2 linked regions of the Tribolium castaneum genome follow. The protein of the gene in region 2 interacts with the protein of the main gene of each other region in a pairwise test. Links are inferred from orthologs where the notes say so. Each region holds a gene or a part of one and is shown on either strand. Other genes may lie near its edges. The genes, in order: P32 and scramb1.

Region 1 (4,601 bases), on a different chromosome or scaffold from region 2:
AACTTCGTGACTGCTTGGATTACTGGGCTTGTCCAGGTTAATGTAACCTGACTTAACATAATCGGAAATTTCCCTTCGTAAAGGGGAAGAACCAAACGGCAAAGGTACGTAATGGTTCGTTCTCACATTCAAACGGTCAAAATACTGCAAATCACGCTTTGATGTAACGAAAAACCGAATTTAAAACCCACCTTTAACAACAAGGGCCACTTGGAACTGTCCAACTTTGCAATCACTGAGGAGGGCTCCACTGCAAATTCGGAGCCTTTTTGAAGGTTCCCCAAGTCTTTGTCGCCCTTGCTTTTCTTCTTTTTCTTCTCCCTAACGGGCGTATCCGCCTCTGCACAAAATTGCGTTCTAAATAACGATAAGACAAAGCGGCCGGTTTTTTGAAAAAAATCATTATTTTTGAAACTCTAAATACATTTCTACCACTAATTATTTATCAAAGAACGAAATAAAGCCTCGTTAAAGATAATAATAAACAATAACTTACCAAACTCAGACATCGCTTAGAAAATAACCAACACGTGCATCCGACACAGAAAGTAGGGTTAGTTTTTTGACAACTAACAACAATTTTGACAGATTTTAAGTGGCGCTACTGAAAAAAATTTAAATGAAATAAATGGCGGGAAATGTTTTTTCGGTTATTTAGAGTCTTAAACGATTTTTCTTTTATTTTTTTTATTTTATTTTGGTAAACATTGGCGTTTTTATGCGCTGTAATCGGTGTTTAAAAATTTAAAAAATGTAAAAATTGCAATCTTTTTTTTTGTGTTTTTTTTCGGAAACACTGAGACTTAGAACTAAAATCAAAAAAGCATCAGATAGCGCCTAAAATTATCTATTTTCTTGCCAAAACCCGGAGCCGCTTCGGTCAACGGTTCCAGGTACAGAGGCATATAAAGTTTTACATTAAAAAAATATTTATCAAAAACCAAAAGTCTATTGTCCATTTTTTATTTCATTTAAAATTTTGAAATTTTTTGCTCAAAATTTTAATAATCAAGGCACTTACCTTCACAAAAATTAAGAAAAAAAATTTAAACTCACTCTAGCAAAGTTTTACGAACTTTTTGGCAAATAACTCAGAATGTGTTAGTTAATTACAAAACTTAAAAAAAAATGCCAATAGTTTTAGAAGAAATATAACATATGACGCAACTGTAAGTACCCTTCTATAGCTGTTTTTTTTGCAAAATTATATACGGTAACCCGTTTGCAAAATGTAATTTCAATTTTTAGAAGTTGATTACTCTACATTTTTCCAATTCAATCCAGGATTTTTTTTAAATATTAAAAATCGTTCTATCGAAGAGTTTTCTAAATTTTTCATTAATTTTAATTTTAGACCACAAAATTTTAATTACTATAAGAAAACTGGCCAATTATTGTCCGGTTTAACATTTTATCTGGACACCGGACAATCATCTGGGTGAAAACCGGACAGGTGTGGCAACCCTATGAGGAATTTGGTGACGATTTAGTGATTATCGTTTGTGGGTTGGTGCCATTCTGGGGATTTTCGTAGCGTTGGGTTGCGCGTCGCTTTTTTCTGACAGTTTTTTTGATAGCACGTGTTGTGGCCGGTTTTTTCACGCATTTCGCCTAAACTAAGTATAAAAATGAATAATTTGCTTCGAGTTGCGTCCAGACTCAGCTTCAAGACGCTCCTGAGTCCGGTTAAAAAAGTGTCCAACACTTTCCAGCAGCGGCAACTTGCGCGCAATCTTTGGTACATGTGCAATCGCAATGAGTCCGAAAACAAACTGAGCAAGTTGTGCACTTGTGGGTGCATGAGCAGGCACCAGCATGCACACAGTAAAGGTACGTAAGTGAGCCCAATAAGTTGGAGGAATAACAAACTTGTAGCCGAACGTGAACTGGTTGAGTTTCTCACTGAGGAGATTGTCCTGGAGAGGAAGGCCCAGAAGTCGGTGACGCTTCCAGCCGAGCTTGAGGGTTTTAAAGTGGGGTTGAACGGGTCTGAAGTCACTTTGAACAAAAAAGTTGAAAATGAAACGTGAGTCAAATGCGTCTCATTTCTTGTTATGAAGTGGCAACTTCTAGGATAAAAATTACTTTCAATGTGAACCACACAGTAGACTCTGATGAACTACCTAAAGTGGATTCGACGATGGACAATCCAGAATTTGGAGAATTAAAGTCAAAGCCTGAATTTCGAATTGAAATTGTGCGAGGGTCGACCACTTTCAGTGTTTTGTGCTCATTTTTAGAAAGTGATGAGCAAGAGGAAGATTCTAGTAAGACACTTCTGTTTTTAATTCACAAGATTTTGCACAACTTTCGGCTCAAAATCTAATCGAATGAAACGCCATTTGGTGATAATTTTATTCGGTTTTAGAGGATTAAAAAACGCTTCGAACACTAAAAAATCATATATGATAGCATTTTTGTGAAGATATGCGAAATCTTGGAATAAACTAAGCCCTTAGCTGAAAAAAGTTCAACCTGATTTAGCAAATTTTCGGCTTATTTTTCGCAACAAAATGTCCTAAATCCCCCGAAAACGCAAAAAATTGGGATGTTTTAACCTTACTGAAAGATTTTAGGATTTTAGCTCTAATACATCCTTTTTTGGTTAATTTTTGACGATTTTCTTCGAAATAATTAAGTTTTTGACGAAAAAACGTTTTGAAACGCTCAAAAAAAGGCAATAATTAGACAAGAATGTGCAAAATAAATGCGTCTTTGGCTCAATTAAGAATGAAATCGAGGAAATCAATCTCAAATAGAATATCATGGTCAGTATGATTTGGTGTTTTTTTCAACTAGTTTTGGAGGATTGTAATTCGAAAAAAAAACTGCTTTTTGGCGTTGTTTTGCAATTCTTCGGCTTCTTGTAACTAAATTTTGCAAAACAACTGCGTTTGTAATCTAGAAAACCTGTTAAAACTCCCAAAAACAATACAATGATCGTCTATTTTTTATTCAGTTTAGCGAAATTGCGGAAAAAAACACGCTATTTTCAGGCTAGTTTACTGATTTCTCATCTTTTTTCTTAAAAATAATTGTTATTTATGGTCGAAAAACGTGCCAATATGGTTAAAATTGCTAAAAATAATGCCATTTTGACCTGATGCTTTGTTTGGTAATTCTTTTTTGTAACCAAATTTTGAGATAACTGCTTTTTAAAACTTCCAAAAACCAAAAAACTACAATGATCACCGGTCTATTTGTTTATTCAGTTTAGCGAAATTTCTCAAAAAGTACGCTATTTTCAGACTAATTTAGTGATTTCCCAGCTTTTTCTTATAACGTTTTGAAAAATTATTGTATATTTCTTGTTTGAAAACGTGCTAAAATGGTTAAAATTTGTAAAAATAATGTCATTTTGATCTAATTTTGGCTTTGTTTGGTAATTTTTCGGCTTCATTGTGACCAAATTTTGAGAGATAACTGTGTTTTAAAACTCCCAAAAACGCTACAGTGATCACAAGTCTATTTTTTATTCAGTTTATTCAGCTATTTTCAGGCTAATTTACTGATTTCTCATATTTTTTCTTAAAAATAATTGTTATTTATGGTCGAAAAACGTGCTAATATGGTTAAAATTGCTAAAAATAATGTCATTGTGACCTAATTTTGGGTTTGTTTGGTAATTCTTCGGCTTTTTTGTAACCAAATTTTGAGATAACTGCTTTTTAAAACTTCTAAAAAACCACAATGATCACCAGTCTATTTTTTTATTCAGTTTAGCGAAATTTCTCAAAAGTACGCTATTTTCAGACTAATTTAGTGATTTCCCAGCTTTTTCTTATAACGTTTTGAAAAATTATTGTATATTTTTTGTTTGAAAACGTGCTAAAATGGTTAAAATTTGTAAAAAAATGTCATTTTGATCTAATTTTGGCTTTGTTTGGTAATTTTTCGGCTTCATTGTGACCAAATTTTGAGAGATAACTGTGTTTTAAAACTCCCAAAAACGCTACAGTGATCACCAGTCTATTTTTTATTTAGTCTATTGAAATTTCGTTATTTTTAGGCTGACTTAGTGATTTCACAACTTTTTTCTTTTGTTTTGAATATTTCTGGTCGAGAAACGTGCTAAAATGGTAAAAATTATGTCATTTTGATCTAATTTTGGCTTTGTTCGGTAATCCTTCGACTTCTTTGTAACTAACTTTGCAAGATAAATGCGTTTCTTGTTTATAAAAACTGTTAAAACTCCCAAAAACGCTACAAGTTTAATGAAATTTAGAAAGAATACGTTATTTTCAGGCTAGTTTATTGATTTCCGATGTTTTTTCTTACGTTTTGAAAAATAATTGTATATTTCTAGTCGAAAAACGTACTAATAAAACGGTTAAAATTGGTAAAAATAATATCATTTTTTACCTTTTGCGATTTTTGTGTCCAATTATACGGAAAACTCGCAAACAGATTAAGGTTTTATCTCAGAAACGCGCTTACATGCTTGAAAAAGGTAAAAATACTATTCTCAATAGGTTTTATTTTTGACGAATTTTCTCGAAGTAATTACGTTTTTGTTTAAAAAACGTTTTGGAATCTTCAGTAAAAGTAAAAATAACACCTTTCTCAGCTTTAGTAACGCTTTTATTTAAATTTTATAATAT
Region 2 (4,312 bases):
CGTAATAATTATCCATTTTGTTAAAAAAATCGTAAGTAGAACGGTAAGATAGTGTTCACATAAGGGACTGATAAAGTAGGTGCTTATGTCAATGTACTTGCATAATTTTGTCAACAAACGAAAAATCCTAGATAAGGCGAGCGTAATTTTATAATTACGTGTAATTTTGCAAACAGTAAGGTAGGTGTACTTGCCTTTGTTCACTTTCTGAGAGAAATTTATGGTAACCCTTGCTTTTTGGGGACCGTTTAATCCGAAATAGTTTGCCAAATTTACGAACCAAAATTCGAGGAATTGACTTAAATTTGAATTGTGTTCTTAGTTCAGACATGGTTAGAACTGACCCATTATTTTCCCTATCAATTCTGAAGACAAACAAACACTTTTTATCAAGCACAGATCATTCACTTCATATTTATTTCCATGACTTATTAATAGTTAATAGGAACATAATCGTGATTATTCAGAAAAGAGTCACACACAACGTATTTCAGTGTAATAATTGTTTTCTTCTTTCAAATAGTTATCTTATCATTTTAATCGCTAAACAATACAGGCTGATTCTTTTAGGGCCTACGTTAGAAACTTTTAGCTTCGAATTTTTGTAAACAATTTAAATCAACCATTCTAAGTTCAACTAAATTACATTCAAATTTAATTATGAGTTATGACTTAAATAATTGATTAATTCATTTTAATTGTAAGAAATCGTAGAAAAAACCTTATCGCGCACCTAAAAAAATCGCGATTTGTAATTAAATAAAAATTCATCACATTTTACATGCTTGAATGGACATTCGAAAGGTATCTTCCCTAATCTTTTAGTAATTTTTCACTTACACAGACAAGAATTATAAGAACAGAAAAGAATACAAAAAAAATTAAAAGTTCCTAAATAATAGCGACTACGCAAATAGTAAAAAAAGACAAAATAAAAAAAATTATACTGAAAAAAAAATTGGCAAAACCTTAACAAAGCTTCCGACTGAAAATAAAGCCAAAGATAATTGTGAAGAAATTATAGGAAAAAAAGTTAAAGAGAAAATAGCTGAACTAGTAATTCTTTTTAAGCTGACGAATTAATTGAAAAAATTTCGAAGATAATTTCAATTCTAAAACTGAAATTACTTTAGTAAGGAAATTATTAATTACTGAAGATAAACCTAGAAGAAAATTAAGAGAAATAAGAGTGGAAGAAAACAAACATAAATCAAAATTAAAAAAAGAATGTAAAAAATAAGACAATATGGAGGGGATTGACGAAAAATGTTTTACTGCAAAAAAATATACCAAAGAACACAAAATAAGAAATGCGAATACTCACAAAAAAAAATGCAAAAATGTGAGTATAGAAAAAATCGCATAACTTGAAACAACAGAGGAAAGTCTAATAACTGAAGAATTTAAAAATCGAAAAGTCAAGTCTTACAGAAAAAATATACTCAGCAGACTCACCTTGCATACTAAAAACCAAACGGCGTACTTCGTAAAAATTTCAAAAAATTAGCAGTCAACTTTTTTGACCCATGATCGCACGAAATGACTTAAATAAAATAAAACAGTTTTTATCAAACTTCGCAAAACATGAAATATTTGTAAATTATGTATTCTGTGCGATTATTTGAATTGATTTGATCATTTGAATTTATAAAATTAGGCGGTTTTTATTCTTTGTAATTGATAAAACTAGTGCATACTGGAGGAAAAATGTATTCTAATTAAATATTACATTCGAAACTTTAATACTTAACTCTTCAACAAAATAAATTATCACACCCAGCGTTTTCATCCAAGTTAAAAACCTAATAAAACCTGCTACAATTATTATTATAAATTCAAATAATCATATGGTATTTAGTTGAAGTAGATCCTATTTGTTACAAAAAATTGTACTACAACTTGCTTTAAAAGATCTAAAGACGGTCTAAAGACAAGCCCTAAAAATTTTTGAACTATATATTGTAGATTTATAACAAGAAGATAAGAAAATAAAGTAACACAATTCTAATTAATGTAAGAAGAATATTTGATTAAACTTTTCTTCAGGACAGCAAAGTAATCGAATACAAATCGATCAACATAGAAAAATATTGTCAAAATACATTTATTTAGTGAAATTTACTTTCTTAAACAATTGGACTTCGCTCTTCGACGGCGACAAAAAAATTCTTTTGACATGTTTTTTTACCAAATAAATGATTACATAATTATATATACACACTTTTATCTCAAAAAATGTACAATAAAAATGCACATACTATCGCAAAGTGGTTATTGCAATAATGATGGGACTTGGACCACTTGTAAAAAAATTTAGTAGATAACAGATGAGAGATATGTTGAGATAATTACATAGATAATAAATTTATTTGGAAAAAATATATAGCGAACTGACTTCAAAAACATATAAATTTTACAAAAATGTAATAAAAAAAATTGAATATACCTGGTGCACCTCCAGGACCTGGCCCCATCGGTTGATTGATCACTGGTGGAGGCCCATAGTGTCCTGGGGGCGGGTATTGCCCTGGGGGTGGGTACTGCCCTGGGGGGTACCCCTGAGGCGGCGGTCCGTACCCCGGAGGGGGGCCATAGCCGGGCGGCGGCGGCGTTCCATAGCCCTGACCCGGGGGCATCGGTGGATACTGACCTAAAGTGTTTGTAGTATCACCACTTAACCCCCAAAAACTTACCATTGTAGGGTGTAGGGTAAGGCCCAGGGTGCTGTCCACCAGGTGGAGGGTACGACATCTCTAAAAACTATCAAAAAAATGTTATCTATTTTTATCTTTCGACTTTTCAAATTATACAGAGTGTTACGTCATTGAATTATTTCGGAAAATTAGCACACTGGATTATACGTACTTTTTTGTTTACTGAAAAGCTGTCAAAATTATGAGTCACTCTGTTAGCCTCGGGGTCATGCTGAGTTATTTGTTTTTGGGGCTAATTAAGACAGTCGGATAGTTAAACACACTAATTGGTACGTAATACTTAAAATTGTTTACTGATGGGTGCAAATAGGACGCAAGAATTTCTGAAATTTGTGGTCGGAAATTGCCCCCAGATGGCGCTGTAAACCCGGGAAGTATGAGTATTTTGGGATGTTTTATTTTTATTGCGTTAATTGAGACGACAATAATTGCAAACTTGTAGTCTTTTTGATTGATAATTTGGTTTTATGGCGTTGTAAAGTTTTATGTTGTTTGTAGTAAAATGTGAGCTGGGGCTTTGGTTGACTTTATGACGGTATTTACACCAAACAGTCTAATGCGAGGTTGTCTGGTAACGCCTAACCAATAGGCCCATAGCGCGCGCACTACGTCACCCAGAATGCTTGTTTAAATCGGAATATTAAGTGCAATAAGTATATTGTTTTTATTTAAACGCTTTATTTTTATGATCGAAATTGCCACCAGACAAACGTTTAGTTATTATTTTATTTTAAATTTTAGAACTACATAATTTGTTCTATGTGTATTTTTTTGCATTTTGTTGACCCGTTTGCTGTCGACAAACAGCATTTAAATAAATTATGTTTTACTGTGCCACATCACACAAAAATCCACGTTTGAATTTACCACTAGATCTAAGGCTTTAATATTTTTTTAACTCGAAAAACACTACAAATATCATAACTGATCAAGTTGAACAGTCAAATAGTAAAATTTCAAAGGGTAATATGTAATTACAAAACAAATTTCTCTCAGTTTGCACTAGTTTATCAATCGCAGACAAAAAAAACTTATTCTAATTATAAATTTAATTATTACATGGTACTCGATGTATGTAACTTTAAAAAAAAATGTCTTACAATAAATGTTAATTAATTAAAAATATTGGAATATTAGTTGATCAAAATTTTCTGATTTCTAGTGTTTTCTTCCAAAACAAACAATATTTAAATGCTTAAATTTTGGAACTAGTGACTTTTTTACGATTTTTTGTGTAAAATATAAAAATTAAGGAGAGAAGAAATATTTTTTGTAGCATTTTTACAATTTATCTTGTAACTAATTAATTACAGTATAAGCTCAATTATATAAACTAAATAAAACCATAAGGTAAGGTGTAGGCGCAATTAATACAAAAAACAGTAAGTAGTAAATAATGAATTACACAATAAAGAATTAGTATTAATTAGTAGATTTTTAGTTTTTAGTTTAACTTTTTTTAAGAAATTACGAAGGGTAGATCTATGATTGTTCTCAGAATTAAAAGGAGGTGATTAAGACTGGAATTGTTTTATTTTTTTTACTCCAAATTAATATTTTGTCGTACGCTAAAATAGTTTCAGTTTCAGTGTCTTGGT

The links.
Region 1: the proteins of scramb1 (region 2) and P32 interact in a two-hybrid assay, tested with the Caenorhabditis elegans proteins (2 studies listed by BioGRID). The link is inferred for Tribolium castaneum from reciprocal best matches to the Caenorhabditis elegans genes scrm-1 and cri-3.

What each region holds. Positions count from the first base shown.
Region 1 is NC_087394.1:7,764,541-7,769,141, reverse strand, and holds the start of P32 (complement component 1 Q subcomponent-binding protein, mitochondrial), read left to right. Parts: upstream 1-1,532; 5' UTR 1,533-1,628; coding exon 1,629-1,830; intron 1,831-1,875; coding exon 1,876-2,026; intron 2,027-2,073; coding exon 2,074-2,267; intron 2,268-4,601. Other genes in the region: Nop60B (H/ACA ribonucleoprotein complex subunit 4), read right to left, coding at 1-144, 192-340, 497-509.
Region 2 is NC_087403.1:8,610,146-8,614,457, forward strand, and holds the start of scramb1 (phospholipid scramblase 2), read right to left. Parts: upstream 3,092-4,312; 5' UTR 2,811-3,091; intron 2,761-2,810; 5' UTR 2,752-2,760; coding exon 2,694-2,751; intron 2,651-2,693; coding exon 2,447-2,650; intron 492-2,446; exon of another isoform or gene 195-491; intron 100-194; exon of another isoform or gene 17-99; coding exon of another isoform or gene 1-16.